Linked DNA regions of Arabidopsis thaliana. The protein of the gene in region 1 interacts with the protein of each later gene in a pairwise test. Each region holds a gene or a part of one and is shown in the gene's direction. Other genes may lie near its edges. The genes, in order: CID5, PAB5 and PAB2.

What was found.
Region 2: the proteins of CID5 (region 1) and PAB5 interact in a two-hybrid assay, tested with the Arabidopsis thaliana proteins (one study listed by BioGRID).
Region 3: the proteins of CID5 (region 1) and PAB2 interact in a two-hybrid assay, tested with the Arabidopsis thaliana proteins (one study listed by BioGRID).

The regions. Positions count from the first base shown.
Region 1 is NC_003076.8:3,652,100-3,655,896, reverse strand, and holds CID5 (CTC-interacting domain 5), read left to right. Parts: upstream 1-1,694; 5' UTR 1,695-1,757; exon of another isoform or gene 1,758-1,983; intron 1,984-2,265; 5' UTR 2,266-2,289; coding exon 2,290-2,613; intron 2,614-2,693; coding exon 2,694-2,837; 3' UTR 2,838-3,183; downstream 3,184-3,797. Other genes in the region: PPD5 (PsbP domain protein (Mog1/PsbP/DUF1795-like photosystem II reaction center PsbP family protein)), read right to left, coding at 24-83, 175-234, 315-410, 503-570, 650-699, 779-908, 1,106-1,281, 1,373-1,476; AT5G11430 (SPOC domain / Transcription elongation factor S-II protein), read right to left, coding at 3,641-3,797. UniProt on the Arabidopsis thaliana protein: Promotes polyploidy in dark-grown seedlings. Regulates the endocycle leading to hypocotyl elongation.
Region 2 is NC_003070.9:26,989,939-26,996,075, reverse strand, and holds PAB5 (poly(A)-binding protein 5), read left to right. Parts: upstream 1-1,816; 5' UTR 1,817-1,973; intron 1,974-2,468; 5' UTR 2,469-2,586; coding exon 2,587-2,920; intron 2,921-3,089; coding exon 3,090-3,871; intron 3,872-3,966; coding exon 3,967-4,044; intron 4,045-4,138; coding exon 4,139-4,228; intron 4,229-4,328; coding exon 4,329-4,649; intron 4,650-4,757; coding exon 4,758-4,970; intron 4,971-5,068; coding exon 5,069-5,299; 3' UTR 5,300-5,551; downstream 5,552-6,137. Other genes in the region: AT1G71780 (WD repeat protein), read left to right, coding at 461-670; AT1G71760 (uncharacterized protein), read right to left, coding at 5,577-5,821, 5,906-6,130. UniProt on the Arabidopsis thaliana protein: Binds the poly(A) tail of mRNA. Appears to be an important mediator of the multiple roles of the poly(A) tail in mRNA biogenesis, stability and translation.
Region 3 is NC_003075.7:16,334,660-16,340,905, forward strand, and holds PAB2 (poly(A) binding protein 2), read left to right. Parts: upstream 1-1,631; 5' UTR 1,632-2,072; coding exon 2,073-2,340; intron 2,341-2,573; coding exon 2,574-2,692; intron 2,693-2,879; coding exon 2,880-3,536; intron 3,537-3,625; coding exon 3,626-3,703; intron 3,704-3,778; coding exon 3,779-3,868; intron 3,869-4,135; coding exon 4,136-4,273; intron 4,274-4,507; coding exon 4,508-4,678; intron 4,679-4,780; coding exon 4,781-4,930; intron 4,931-5,014; coding exon 5,015-5,233; 3' UTR 5,234-5,655; downstream 5,656-6,246. Other genes in the region: CER9 (RING/U-box superfamily protein), read left to right, coding at 1-205. UniProt on the Arabidopsis thaliana protein: Binds the poly(A) tail of mRNA. Appears to be an important mediator of the multiple roles of the poly(A) tail in mRNA biogenesis, stability and translation. In the cytoplasm, affects both translation and mRNA decay.

The DNA.
Region 1 (3,797 bases):
TGCTCAGAGTTAGAGAGCATTACAATTTTGGTTGGTGATTTGCGGACAAGGTACTCGTAGTACCAGTAAGGCTCCCCATCAATCTACATATAGTAAGCATATGAGACTTGTGAGCTTTGTAGATTCAATTTTTTTTACGTTGTTATATGATTTGTTGTGGAAGATCATACTCACATCACTAGCATGAGCATCAAGAACCGAACTCTCTTCAAGACGCTGACTTGAGGTGACACGCTGCTCATTTAAACAATCTGTTTAATGTTTAAGAAAAGGAGAATTGGTAACTGTGATGTGTTTCATGTTAGAAGGGTTACCAATGCTGATTTATCAGACAAAACAGAATCAGCAACTTCTTTAGCGGACCATGTTTTCTTTTCTTTTGATGTTAATCTTGAGTTTGGGGGACCTATCTGAATCAAAAACCGTAAAAGACATATCACGAGAAAGATAGCAAAGAGAAGCAAAGCAGTCTTATGCTAAATGGGCAACACCAGAAACTTACCGAAATAGAAATGACGAGGTTGTCAGTTAGGTCAACTCGTTCAGAAACAATCCGTAAACGTGCATCAGCTGGACCAGTTGAAACAGATTCAGTAACAAGTTAATGCATCCAGAATTCATGAAAATCAAAAGGAAGCATAGAACTTACGAGAGAGTGGTGCAGCTGAAGAGTATCTTTCAGGCTTTCTTGATTCAACCCTGCATAACCAAAATGTAAAAGAGTGAGATACAGCTTGAACTAAAAGGAAGCATTACATCAAAAGGATTCAGTCAATACCATTTGAAGACAAGCTTCTCAGATGGATAATCCAATGGGTAAGCATAAGAATAAGCATTAATATCATCCACCATTGTACCCATTTTCAATTCTTCTCCACTCATTTTCACGTCTTCTTCTGCATGAGTGACTGCAATAACAAAACTGTAAACGTTACATAACCAAAAAAAGTAGATGATTATTAATGGACTAAACACTGTAAGAGATTCTCAATTTTCTTCCTTTCTCTCTACTAACCAATGAAAGGCAAGATTTTTAAGTAGAAGTGAAACTATCTAATTGAATCTACAAGATATTAAAAGACGAACAATAGAAGCAAAGCATTACCTGGAGAAGACAATGGCAAGAACATAGACAACGGAGAAGAGAGACCAATGAGCACTAAATCCCTACGAGAAAGCCCCTTTTCCGAAGAAATTGATCTCGTAGACACACCAGAACGAGCAATCATCAGCTCCTTTGAGGCTCCATGATACTTGCTCGAAATATTGCTGCTCCTGCACCTGAACACAATCTCATCCGAAATCACAAAAACATCTTACAGAAAAAGCCACTGGCTCGAGCACACAAGAAACATCACAAAAGATAATTAACCTGAAAAGACGAGAATTCGGAGAGGGAAGAGAAGGACAGAGAAGAGCCATAGCTATGGCGTGTTCTGGAGCTTCTTCACTTTGCTTCTTCCCTTTAGCTCTCATCCATTCACTCCTTCGTTTTGATACTTTTTAAACCGGTGGTTATCAATCGGTTTATTAAACCGAATTAATTTCAATCACGTATATTAGTATCCCGGTTAAAGATAAATATAACCGGGTATCCAAACGAACCCCATCGTGATGTTTGGTGTCCTTCATGTAAACGGACACTAACCTATACGATAATAATTCCATAAATACATGGGTTTGCCACATTAATCGCATCATTTAGGTCTCTGTCTCTACAATTTATTCGAGCGATCTTCAACGCTAGTTTTTGTTTGGTAAGCTCATTTTCTTCTCTCCTAATGTTTCGTTTCTTCTTCTCCTTTTACGTCGATCGTTGACAAGGTCAACAAACATTATTCCTTCTTTTCATTTTGTTTTGCATATAATCCACTCTTCTTCGCATCATTTCTTCTTTGTCAAGAATCTTTTACTTTTGCCCTGTTTTCTGTATTTTCCGACATCGATTTTTCCATGCAGTAACAACGCGAGCCAGATTCTAATGTAACCACATTTCTTTATTTTAATATCTTCAATTTATTTCCTTTAGATTCCTTATATACTCTGTGTTACGCCATCGAAACGTTGGCTTAGGAGTTAGGTCTCTTCATATCCTTTTTATTTTTTTTTGTTGAAATCATTAAAGGTTGTTTCATCATACCTCGTTAGACCAAATTTGAGATTGTTAGATTTTGCTGCATACGACATGTTTGGTTCTAATCAATATATCATTGTTTTGTATTTCTTTTCTGTCTCTGACTCTTAATTAACTTCTAAATTTAGCAGTAACTTTATCAGCAAGACAAAGCAATGAAGCCAGGAGCATTTGCATTGAATCCACATGCAGCATCGTATGTACCAATCTCCAAAAGAGTGGATTATGGTGGCGGTGATGATGGTTTGGTGTTTGCAGCAAAGTCCCCCACGGTTGAAGTGTCAATGCCGAAGAAATCCTCTGAAATGGCTTATAAGCAGATCAGGGATGATGATTTGGATTTGGAGATGGATATAGACATGGATATTGAATACCTTCTTGTCACTTTCTCTGGTCTCTCACAAGAGTCTATCACTGATGTTTACCTCGCTAATGGCGGTGATCTTGAAGCAACCATTGAGATGCTGAATCAGCTTGAGGTATATTCATTACTCACGTTTATTTTTTGTTTGATGTAATGATCTTAAGTGATGATTTTGATCACTCTTTTTCTATATAGATATACAGCACTGAATCTGAAGAAAACCTGCCAGAGACACTTGATATTGGGGATATCTCTGAGTCAGGGCCTTCAACATCAAAATCTACTGAAGTCGCTGCATCCACATCATCGGTTATCCCTAATGCACCTGTATCGGCCTGATCTCATGAATCCTTTAGTTGTGAAGTTTTGCTTCTTCTTCTTTTTCTTTTGTTTTGGTTTGCATACCCATAATAAGTACAGTAATGGGGGTATTGTATCAATGAAGTTGATGGTATCTAAGAGAAATGATGATATGTGAGTAGTTGGAAAATGTATAGTTTTGGAAGTTCAAATCTGAGTGGTGTGTTGTTTGGGCAGATTAGATTAGTCTGGTCTTTTTTGACCCCTTTTTTTATTTTGCAGCTCCATCTGTGGATTGGATTTTCCTATGAATAATATGATATTGATATGTTTATTATGGTGTATATGTAATCATCCTTTTAAAACTAGTACCAGTAACTTTGACAAAGGAGAATCTTTATAAGTTATAACCTTATTATTAACTTGTAAACCGAAATAAACTGAAATCTTCATCCGTTTAGAGCAAATTTTCCTGCAGGCTTGAACTCTGAGCCGAGCGGCCCATCAAAAAATCTTACTCTCGTTAGCCTCATTTTCAATAATCCTTTTAGATTCATGGTGAAACCTAGATAGAAGAAATTACTTGCTGATTTCCGGATTAAATTTGATGTTCAAACAAGATTTTGACATTTTAGCAAGATTCCACAATCAAACTTGTCTTTAAAAGCAGAGCAATACTGATTTTCGTTTTCTTGAGGAAACTCTGAAATGTTTTATTTGAAAAGTTGGGACTCTTCGAACATTTGCATTCTACGATGGCTACAAATTTTTTGAAAACGAAAAACTAAAGAGAGACTAGGAAACCAAAAAACTACAATTACAGAGAACACTCAACAGAGATATTAAAATCCTCTGTTTCTTGACTGGTTCCGCTCATAGTGTTGCCCTGATCCTCCGTTTTGATTATCATACCAACCATCTTGAGGCGGTCTAAATACCTCGGGTCTGAAGCCGAGAGGTGGAGGCGGCGGTGGTGGAAGCTGGTGGCTAGGGACGTGT
Region 2 (6,137 bases), on another chromosome or scaffold:
GACCCAATCTGCTTCTTGTCTCCTTTACATGTTCTTCATACCCTTGGATTGTAGAATTACTCTACATTGGCGTTCTGCATTTAGATAAGTTGATGGTTTTCTTTTGATTGTGCTCATAAACCTCATACATGTCTCTAGACTTTCTAGGCTTCTTTACTCTTCAATTGCCCTGGAATATCAATTAACGTGGATTCGGTGTCTCATGGAACCTTAGGTTTAGGTCAAAGCTTGTATTCTTACTTAAAGTAAACAATTTCTTGGAATCACTCCTATGGCTCATAGATTTAGAATACGCATGTAGAAACTAGAATGGATGTCATGGTATTCTGACTTCGTTGGGGCGTAAAAAGTCTTTGGATAATATTGTTGCAAGAACAGAAAAAAAAAGCATTAAAACATGCAGCTTTAATTGGGTGATTCATCTGATAACACTATTAATTTGAACACCTTTTGTTTTCAGGATTCCCTGCTCAAACCCATCACCAGAATCATTCTCGGAGTTGTGATTGTTACGCTCTTAATAACATTTCTATTGAAAGACCCTCCAGCTTGGATCAAGAACAACATCTCCATTGGGACCTTTCCTCCATGGGTGCTCGCATGCATAGTTATAGTTTTCACTCGAGCTAGAAAGAGAACCAGGGACTTCTTCAAGAAGTATGGCTGGTAGTTTCGCAGACCCTAACACTCGTCTCGCTTAAAATGTGGTCGAAATTTGTAGTCTTTCATCGACCATATATATAGAGGTTCTCTTGCCTTAACCCAACAAGTTCCCTTCCTTGGCAAGACTCTTCGTCTTTGATACGCCTTGAGGCGCCAAATTGCTTGCTTTCAGAACTAAGAGAGAGCAATCATTTTCTTCATTTGCATTTTGTTGAAGTTTATAGTTTTATGCATTTCCATGTGTAATGCGATTTGGTTTTTGCCATTTTGATGGAAACTGATACTTATTTTCTAAAACCCAATAGTTTGGCAACAAGCCTGTCCATATTTAATCTCTACATTCCTCCCTGATAATATGAAAATTTAGTCTTGTAACGCATGACATGCTCAGTTTCGTACATATGTCAGATAGTGTTTCAGAAATATCTAAAATGAATGACAACATCACCCATATCGAACTTACTTTTTGGTGGTAGAAAATATTTAGTCGACTAGAGTCTGACATTTTACTCTATTAATCACGAGTACTTAGCAATCTCTGTTCAATAGATTTCAACTGTTGTATTTATTGATGATGGAATTTTTTAAAGATCAAAATTGTCTCATCCACAAAATATTGTCCATGAATTCTATAGATTAGCCTTGTGGCATACCAAAAATCTGTCTCATGTTTTAAACAATTCTATGGAAATATGTTGATATTGATTTAATGTATAAAATTGAGTTTATCGCGGCTGCGTTGACGTTGCTGATAACATCCTGCTTGACACTATCTGGAATTCCTAATTTACTAAGAATTTTGATGATTTTAATAATATTATTGAAAGTGAATAAATGAAAGATTCTAAACTATTGTAGATGTTATTAGTTTAGAATTTGTAAAAAGTAATATAAAATCTTCATAAATCTGAAGTTATTTGATTTATATTTTTATAAAATTATTAAATATTTTGCGTTATTCAATTAAAACAAAATAATCTATGATTGTTAATGAATTAAATTATTCTGTTAATGGTTTATGATTTTTTACATTTTTCTTCACAAAATAAAATCATGAAAGTATCATCAAAATCGAGAGATTGTTTAAATTTTTTTACGAGATTGTGAAAAACAAATCAACAAGATTATAAAAAACTCTCTAGCAATAGTTTATAATCTTTCATTTATTTACTTTCTATGATATTATTAAAGTCATCAAAATTTCGTGTAAATTATGAACCAATAAAGCCTCTTTTAACAAAAAAAACAGACATGACGATAACAACAAAATAATTAAGAAGGAGAAGTAGACGGAAAAAAAAAAAAAAAAAGTAGAGTAATAAGATGTTAAGAAAAAACATAAATATCTATGTGGCACTAGATCTCATCTATAAGACGTTAGTCGTAGTTTTTTGCGAGTATATGAAGAGCAGACTTAACAGATTCATTCGGTTGCGGCTTCCGTTTAGAACGCATGATCCCTTCTACTTCTTCGTCAAAATTGTGTTCAGTTTTCTTTATTTGTTTTAATGATTGTTGTATTTGGATGGTTATATATCATATAAATTTAAATTTTTATAATATAATATAATTGATTATCATTAAAAAAAAAACATGTGGCATTGGATTATTGGCCAGGACAGAAAAAGCCCATTGGCCCACAAAAAGATCCCAGATGTGAATTAAAAAGCTGAGTCAAAACTCAAAAGCCACGTCAAATCAAACTCTGATCCGTAGGGACCGGTTGGTTAGCGAATGTATAAATACCAACTCTCATTCTTTCACACCCTTTCGAGTCTCTCTACTCCTCTTCTTATTCACCGGAGTAACCCAAAAAAAAAAAGGAAAAAATATAAAAATAAATATTCTCCCCTAAAAATTTTGGAAAACCACAAACAGAAATCTCTCTGTCTCACCCTAGAAAAACCTAGAAATCTTATCGCTATGGCTGCGGCGGTTGCATCTGGAATTGCCCCGACGACGGCCATGGTTGATCAAGTGATCCCTAATCAACCCACGGTTGCTGCTGCTGCTCCTCCTCCTTTCCCTGCCGTGAGTCAGGTTGCGGCGGTTGCTGCTGCTGCTGCTGCCGCGGAGGCTTTGCAAACCCATCCAAACTCGTCTCTCTATGTCGGAGATTTAGATCCGAGTGTCAATGAGTCACATCTCTTGGATCTCTTTAATCAAGTTGCTCCAGTTCACAATCTTAGGGTTTGTCGTGATCTGACTCATCGTTCTCTTGGTTACGCTTACGTCAATTTCGCTAACCCTGAAGATGGTAAATATTATAAACAATCATACAGGAATTTAATATTATTATTATGGATTACGACAGGAATATAATATTGTTCATGTGTTTGCTTTTGTGGTTTTGTTCTTTTTGCTGTTTTGTTTTGTTTTGTTTTGCTGTTTTGTAATTAAAGTTTTGTGTTTTTTTATTGGATCAGCGAGTCGTGCGATGGAAAGTCTCAACTATGCTCCGATCAGAGACAGGCCTATAAGGATCATGCTCTCTAATCGTGATCCGAGCACTAGATTGAGTGGGAAAGGCAATGTTTTCATCAAAAACCTTGATGCATCGATTGATAACAAAGCTTTGTATGAAACTTTCTCGTCTTTCGGGACGATTCTCTCTTGCAAGGTTGCAATGGATGTGGTGGGACGTTCGAAAGGATATGGCTTTGTCCAGTTTGAGAAAGAGGAAACCGCTCAGGCTGCTATTGACAAGCTTAATGGTATGTTGCTTAATGATAAGCAAGTCTTTGTTGGCCATTTTGTCCGTCGTCAAGACAGGGCACGTAGTGAGAGTGGTGCGGTGCCGAGCTTCACTAACGTTTATGTTAAGAATCTTCCTAAGGAGATTACTGATGATGAGCTTAAGAAGACTTTTGGGAAATATGGAGATATTTCTAGTGCGGTTGTGATGAAGGATCAGAGTGGGAACTCGAGGTCTTTCGGGTTTGTCAACTTTGTGAGCCCTGAAGCTGCTGCAGTTGCTGTTGAAAAGATGAACGGTATCAGCCTTGGGGAGGATGTGTTGTATGTTGGTAGGGCACAGAAGAAGTCTGATAGGGAAGAGGAATTGAGGAGGAAGTTTGAGCAAGAGAGGATAAGCAGGTTTGAGAAATTGCAAGGATCGAATCTGTATTTGAAGAACCTTGATGATAGTGTGAATGATGAGAAGCTCAAGGAGATGTTCTCTGAGTATGGGAATGTGACTTCCTGCAAGGTTTGTTTCTGATTCTAAACATCTCTAAACTTTATACATAAGTTTATACCACACAATATAATGAATTAAAATGTTTTGTTTGTGGTCATAATTAGGTTATGATGAATTCACAAGGTTTAAGCAGAGGTTTTGGTTTTGTTGCTTACTCCAATCCTGAAGAAGCTTTATTAGCTGTAAGTTTCAACTGAATTGACAATCTTTTTACATATACATAAATGTTTTATAAAATTGGTACTAAAATGTTCATTGGGGTTGATGATTACGCAGATGAAAGAAATGAATGGGAAGATGATAGGAAGGAAACCTCTTTACGTTGCTTTGGCACAACGTAAGGAAGAAAGACAGGCTCACCTTCAGGTTCTTTTTAGCCCTCTCACTCTTTGAACATCAAACTCTGTACTGTGTTGTGTTGTGACACTGAGTTCTTAAACTGTCTTGATGTTTTCACGTGTTTCAGAGTCTATTTACTCAAATCAGATCACCTGGAACAATGTCACCAGTTCCATCACCGATGTCTGGGTTCCATCATCACCCACCAGGTGGGCCAATGTCAGGACCACACCATCCAATGTTCATAGGCCATAACGGTCAAGGTTTGGTACCTTCACAGCCTATGGGGTATGGGTACCAAGTTCAGTTCATGCCTGGGATGCGTCCAGGTGCAGGCCCGCCTAACTTCATGATGCCTTTCCCTCTTCAAAGGCAAACTCAGCCTGGCCCTCGTGTTGGGTTCAGGCGTGGTGCTAATAACATGCAGCAGCAGTTTCAGCAACAACAAGTAAAGTTTTTATCATTAGTTCTTATGTCTTTTAGCAAGTTTATTATCTTTAACACAATCATACGAATATGAATTTGTTGGGGCTTGTTATTATCTTGGAACTGTCAGATGCTGCAGCAAAATGCAAGCAGATTCATGGGAGGCGCAGGCAACAGGAGGAATGGAATGGAAGCATCTGCTCCACAAGGCATCATCCCTTTGCCATTGAATGCATCTGCAAACTCTCACAATGCTCCGCAACGCTCTCACAAGCCAACTCCCCTCACCATTTCTAAGCTCGCATCTGATTTGGCTTTGGCTAGCCCCGACAAACACCCACGGGTTAGTGATCTCCTGTGTTTTCTTCTCTTATCTCATTTAGTACTTGCATTATAACCTATATTTGTTAACAATATCATTGCATTGTGAATTGATGACAGATGCTTGGGGATCATCTTTACCCACTTGTGGAGCAGCAGGAGCCAGCAAATGCTGCTAAAGTTACCGGGATGTTGCTGGAGATGGATCAAGCTGAGATTTTGCACCTTCTTGAGTCACCTGAAGCTCTTAAGGCTAAAGTGTCCGAGGCTCTGGATGTTCTCAGACGCTCTGCTGATCCAGCAGCTGTGTCATCTGTTGATGACCAGTTTGCTCTATCCTCATCCGAGTGAACATACTGTTTACTCAAGACTATGTTTCTCTCGCTTTCTTAGACAGTTGCTTTAATACCTTTTAGGACCTTTAAAACTAGCTTTTTCTTTTCTACATCTCTTTGATAGATTGTTTTGAGTTTTTCCCTTAGCATTGAGACTTTTACTCTTTAGCACTTTCTCTAGTTTCGTTAGGAGTCTATTTAATGTGTCAACTCTTTTGCAACTCCAAATTCGTTTCAGAAACTTTACATTTAGCATTTTATCTAATAATCGGCATTCTGGTTAAACATTCTGATCACATGAAATCTGGATGTACCTCGTCGTCTACTATCTGATATTCCGTATTTATCTCCATTACTGCTCTGTCCCATCCTCCTACTTCGTCATCCTTCAAGGCCTTTTTAACACCAAATCGCGGTGGTGCTTGGTGTTCTCCTTCGTCATCGATTAAGTAGGCGTCCCATTTCGAAGCTGGCTTAGTAACTCTTTCTGACTCTAGATTCCTCTCTTCCATATCCTTCTTCCTCGTCACTACTTCATCTGCAACACATTTGAAGGATAGGAGAATATTGTTTTAGTAAAACCATTCAGGCCTTTAATAAACAACATTCGCAACGGCTTTACTTGAACTAAACGCTGATATATGGCCAACATATGTAGCAGAACTCCTCTTACCGGATCGAAAATCCGGCTTTTTGATGCTGCGTCTGGAGAAAGAAGGCTTGAAGATCTCATTACTGTCTTTATTCTCACCTCCTGTATTTGATGATGATCCACCAGCATTAGACTCTTTGTTCAGCTTTGGCCTTTTGAACATATTGCTTGGCATCTCAGTGACAATCTTCACATCTGCAAC
Region 3 (6,246 bases), on another chromosome or scaffold:
TGTCTGGTTTAGAAACCTTCACAACTCTATCCGTGATGACCGTTATCTCATTGGTCGGAGACTGCATAACTTTGGGGAAGCTGCTTTAGCTAATCAAAACCAAAACCAAAGTAGTGAGGATGCAGGAGATGGTGTCTTGATAGGACGAGAGGGAGATGTTGATAATGGACTTAGGCTCAGACGTGCAATCCAACAAGAAGCTTAGAAAGAAACTGTGCACTGAGGCGTTTAACATTTTGTGTACTTAAGCCGTTAAGAGATGGCTTTGAAAGATTTATTATTAGTCGATGTGTAAATTATTATATCCGTTGATGATTCTCTTTTTTTTGTTTTTGTGTACGAAACTAAAAGATCTTTAGAATAATGCTTCGTTTGTCCATATGCCTTGTGTGTTTCTATGATAATGCTTCTAGAATACCTTCGCTTACTGCAAATTCTTGTCTTTTGTCTCTTATGTTAGTGCATGTAAGCCTTAAGGAATTGGCGTTGAAGATCTATTTGGCCGATGTGTGATTGTAGACATACTCGTTGATACTGTTTTTGGTTTTTTATTTTCCAACAGAATAAAAATAAGAGGAATGTTATAACCCCATTAGATAGATGTCCATATCAGGTTCATCTCAGACCCATATGCTTCAAGGGTTATGGGTACTTAGAGAGATTGTGTTCCCGATTGTGATGAAACTCCTAACGGCTTTATGTGTGCCTTATGTGTTGGCGAGAGGAGTGTTCCCAATGCTCGGATATCCGCTAGTAGTGAACTCAGCGGTCTACAGATTCGCATGGATAGGTTGTCTCTCAGTGAGCCTCTTCTGCTTCTGGTTTAGAAACCTTCACAACTCTATCCGTGATGACCGTTATCTCATTGGTCGGAGACTCCATAACTTTGGGGAAGCTGCTTTGGCAAAACCAAAGTAGTGAGGATGCGGGAGATGGTATCTTGATAGGACTTTAGGGAGATGTTGATAATGGACTTAAGGCTCAGACGTGCAATCCAACAAGAAGCTTAGAAAGAAACTGTGCACTGAGTCGTATTAACTTAGGCTTGGAAATATTTACTAGTCAATGTGTATCCCGTTGATCCTCTTTTGTTTGTGTATAATATCCAAAGGATCTTAAGAAATGAGTAATGACGCTTCGTATATATATATGCCTTGTGTGTTTCTACTTTCTATTGTAATGCTTTTTGAAATGATTGCGTATTGCAAAATCTCATCTCTCATCTTATGTTCTTTCGTGTCACAATTCTACTGGAAGGCCAATCGTGTATTAAGTTGAATTGTTTTGATAAGTCAAATCTTAACATATTGGTTATTTAATTAAGATACTTTTTGCATACCATATAAAATCGTGCGGTAAATATTAATATTAACAACTTTTACTTTAGGAAAATCAAAATTCATCAAGATCCAGTGAGAATATTGCTAATCAGAGTTAAGAAATGTTAAGATAAATCAAAGAAAATATCATCACTGTACAAAATTTTAACAAACTTGGTTACTAATTAGATTCGAAAGTGTCAAACACGCGCGTATCTGTTTGACTTTTCCGAAAGTGACGAGAAGGAAGACGACCTTATCAATTCACCAGCAACTCTAAAATCAATCCTACGATTTACTTCAGACTCGATCCAACGGCTGAGATCAATCTCACACTCCTAGGGTTCTTCTAGGGGAATTAAAGGTTTCTTTTTTTTGTTGGGTTAATAATATAAAAGCAAAGAAAAGGAGAAACCGTAATGCTTCTTTTTCATCTATCGTAATTGTGCTTGTTTCGCCTAGAATCTCTCGGCCCCCAAATATCTCACTCGCCGTCGCAGGCTTCGCCGCCGGCAATTTCTTACCCTATTTCATCTTCCCTCTCCTCTGATATACCCATAAAAACACAAAAAAAACGAAAAGATAAAAACTTTGGCTTTAGTTTTGTTGATTTTGTCATTCGATTCGATTTCTTTTTCTTCTTTCAAATTCTAGGGTTTTCGATTTGGTTTCAGTCTAATAACGAGAGGGGAGGGAAGAGTAACTAAAACCCCAAAAAAAGTCAAAAAAGTTTCGAAAATCCAAAAAAAGATAATGGCGCAGGTTCAACTTCAGGGTCAGACTCCGAATGGTTCGACCGCGGCGGTCACTTCTGCTCCGGCGACGTCAGGTGGAGCAACGGCGACCCAGTTTGGTAACACGTCGCTTTATGTGGGGGATCTCGATTTCAATGTGACGGACTCGCAGCTTTTCGATGCGTTTGGCCAAATGGGTACTGTGGTCACCGTTCGTGTCTGTAGGGATTTGGTCACTCGCCGATCTCTTGGCTATGGATACGTTAACTTCACCAATCCCCAAGACGGTTAGTCTCCTTAATTTTATTTGGACTTCTTCTTACAATTTCCAATTTTTAGGGTTTGCTCGATAGTACCAGTACTGGATTTGAATGAGGTGTGTTTTAAATGTTGATACTTTATGGTGTTTGTATGTATGCAATGTGGTTGGTGCTGTTGGAAAGCTTATCCCCTGCTTAATCAATCTTTTTAATGCTACTTCTGTCTTCTAATGGTACTTTATCTCGTGTCTTTGTTGCAGCTGCAAGAGCGATCCAAGAACTGAATTACATACCTCTTTATGGAAAACCTATTAGGGTTATGTATTCTCATCGTGATCCTAGTGTTCGCCGAAGTGGCGCTGGCAACATTTTTATTAAGGTACGCTTGTCTCTATCCTTCTGACATTTGAGTTGCTGTAAGACGAGATGATTGTTGCGAAAAAATTTGTATCTTGTATTATTCATTGAAAAGTCTGGCAAAAGTAGTTGATTTCTTTAGTTATGTAAGTTTTTTTATTGGGTGTTCTTTCTCTCTTTCTGATGCTAAACCTGGCTATAATATGCAGAATTTGGACGAGTCCATCGACCACAAAGCACTGCATGATACTTTTTCATCGTTTGGAAACATTGTGTCGTGCAAGGTAGCTGTCGATTCTTCAGGCCAGTCAAAAGGCTATGGGTTTGTGCAATACGCCAATGAAGAATCTGCCCAGAAAGCTATAGAGAAACTGAACGGCATGTTGCTCAATGACAAGCAAGTGTATGTGGGTCCTTTCCTGAGGAGACAAGAAAGAGACTCCACTGCTAACAAAACGAAATTCACCAATGTGTATGTGAAGAATCTCGCGGAAAGTACTACCGATGATGACTTGAAGAATGCTTTTGGCGAGTATGGAAAGATAACAAGTGCTGTCGTGATGAAAGATGGAGAAGGGAAGTCCAAGGGCTTTGGGTTTGTCAACTTTGAAAATGCTGATGATGCTGCTAGGGCTGTGGAGTCTCTCAATGGGCACAAATTTGATGATAAGGAGTGGTATGTTGGTAGAGCCCAGAAGAAGTCAGAGAGGGAAACAGAATTAAGGGTCCGTTATGAACAGAATTTGAAGGAAGCTGCAGACAAGTTTCAAAGTTCAAACTTGTATGTTAAGAATTTGGATCCTAGCATTTCAGATGAGAAACTTAAAGAGATCTTTTCTCCTTTTGGTACCGTTACATCTAGCAAGGTTCAATGTCCCTCTCTCTCTCTCTTTATTTGTAGTGAGTTGACTCTCCTAGTTCATTATTTAAGAAGTTCTTTTATTAAATATTACAGGTGATGCGGGATCCTAATGGAACAAGCAAAGGCTCAGGTTTTGTTGCTTTCGCAACTCCCGAAGAAGCAACTGAAGCTGTAAGTCAGTTGTATCGTCTTGTTGATTGTATTTATGAGGACTTTGATTGTTAGTAACAGTGGAATACTGTACAGATGTCACAGTTGAGCGGTAAAATGATCGAAAGCAAGCCACTCTATGTGGCTATTGCACAGCGGAAGGAAGACAGAAGGGTCAGACTACAGGTTTGCTTCTCTTGGAATCACCTCGTCTTGTGATACACTTACTACTCCTACTTTGCCTGTTGGAGTTTCAACTCTAAACAATTGGACCCATCATGTACAAGTCTTAGAATGTCCCACTGCGTATAATTATCAATACTGATGCTGATTCTTCTTTATAATCAAGTGCAACAATATATAAAGCATAAACAACATATGTCCTAGTATTTTTGTATCACAGAAAAATCTCTTTTTTCTCCTGCTGCTGAGTATTTGCATTGATGTGAATAGGCTCAGTTTTCCCAAGTGAGGCCAGTTGCAATGCAGCCGTCTGTTGGTCCCCGCATGCCAGTGTATCCCCCGGGTGGTCCTGGTATTGGACAACAAATGTTCTATGGTCAGGCCCCTCCTGCCATGATTCCTCCCCAGGTAATCTTCATGTTACTCTACTTTAAGTAGCCGTGTACGATTTTACACAAAGATATGCACATGTTTATTTTCTACCTTGGGTATAATGAATTACAAGCTGACAGATGCTTTTAAGTCACATGAAAAGTTTTTAAATTCTTTAGCTCTATAGTTGCTATACTCATACTTGAGCCTTTCCAAATCTATTTTGAAACTGCTGGGATAATATTAACCTGTACTTATGCAATGCCACAGCCTGGGTATGGATACCAACAGCAGCTTGTTCCTGGAATGAGACCTGGTGGGGGTCCTGTACCCAGTTTCTTCATGCCTATGGTTCAGCCACAGCAGCAGCGTCCTGGAGGAGGAAGACGTCCTGGGGGAATCCAACACTCCCAGCAGCAAAATCCCATGATGCAGCAACAGGTTCTTCTCTTTTCCTTATTTAATTGCAATAAAGGCTGCTTTGCTTGCTTGGCTCTCTTTTAATAGTTGATCGTATGGTTTTTCTGTTTGGATGGTGGTTAGATGCATCCAAGGGGTCGGATGTTCCGGTATCCCCAAGGGCGTGGTGGTAGTGGTGATGTGCCTCCATATGATATGGGCAACAACATGCCATTGACTATTGGAGCTTTGGCTTCAAATCTGTCTAATGCTACTCCAGAGCAACAGAGGACGGTGAGAGAATCTCTTAAAAACCAAATAGAGAGACTGGTTTTGCTTGGATTATAATAATGTGACCCTTTGGGTGTGTTTGTACAGATGCTGGGTGAGGTGCTGTACCCGTTGGTGGAGCAGGTTGAGGCAGAGTCTGCAGCCAAAGTGACTGGGATGCTTTTGGAGATGGACCAGACTGAAGTGCTCCATCTGTTGGAGTCACCAGAAGCTCTCAAGGCCAAAGTTGCAGAGGCTATGGATGTTCTCAGGAGTGTCGCTGCTGGTGGTGCAACCGAGCAGCTCGCTTCCTTGAACCTCTCTTAAATTGCTTTTTATCATTTGATCTTTGGCTTTTGTCTCTCCCATACAATTGGAGTTGTTTCTTTGCTATTCGTTTTCTCCCTGGGAATTTGGATTCCTCCACATAACTGCGTTTGTGTTATTTTAAACCTTCGTTTTTAAACCACAAAGGAAAAACCTATCTGCTTTGTTCTTTTGATTTAGTTGCGTGTTCTAGCTTGTTCGATCTAGTGTTCACGGAAGATGAATTTGATTACCAATAAGGCCAATGCTGGTGATCCCCCTCTTTGGCCTTTTGACTGTTGGTGGTTGTTGCTTCTAGTCATTTTTTTTACCAGTTTTTCAAGCTCTATTTTATGGTAAAAAGGTGTCCTGGTAAAAATGGATGAATGGGTCTCATTCTCAGCAGACAATGTTTGAATGAGAAAGAAATACATTTTAAACTTTTTATACACTTTGCTTCTAGATTGATTGGGACTAGTCGAATAGAAATCTTAGTAGAGGTCTAAGGAAACATGATACACATCTTGTTTGGTTGAAATCTTACCATTGTTTTTGGTTTCAGTTATTGATCTGGTTTTTGGACTACTTTTTCTGCAACTATTTGAGAATGAGAAATTACTTACCAAAAAAAAGAAAGTCTTCATCTACGCCAAGGATTTAGAATATTCGTACATGAATTTTGATTTCCAGTACATTGCGTCATGAACTATATAGTCTACTTGTTTTTTTTTGTATCTATTTGACATGCAGCAAAGCCAGCAACACATCTTTTATTGAGTCTGATGATATTTGTGAACTAATTCGAAAATATTTAAAAGATTCGAGTGTATGAAAGGTTTAACTATTATCAAAATCTCTAGATATTTCAACTGATGGCAACACTCAACAATCTCACAATCACGACATAAAAATCCAATAACACTTGAAACCAAAAGAGGGTTCAAATTAGGGTTTCTTGTTAAATCGAAATTGGACTTTTATTTATTTATTAACATCTGACTTTTGAGTTTTGACCAAAAAAAAAGATGGAAAAT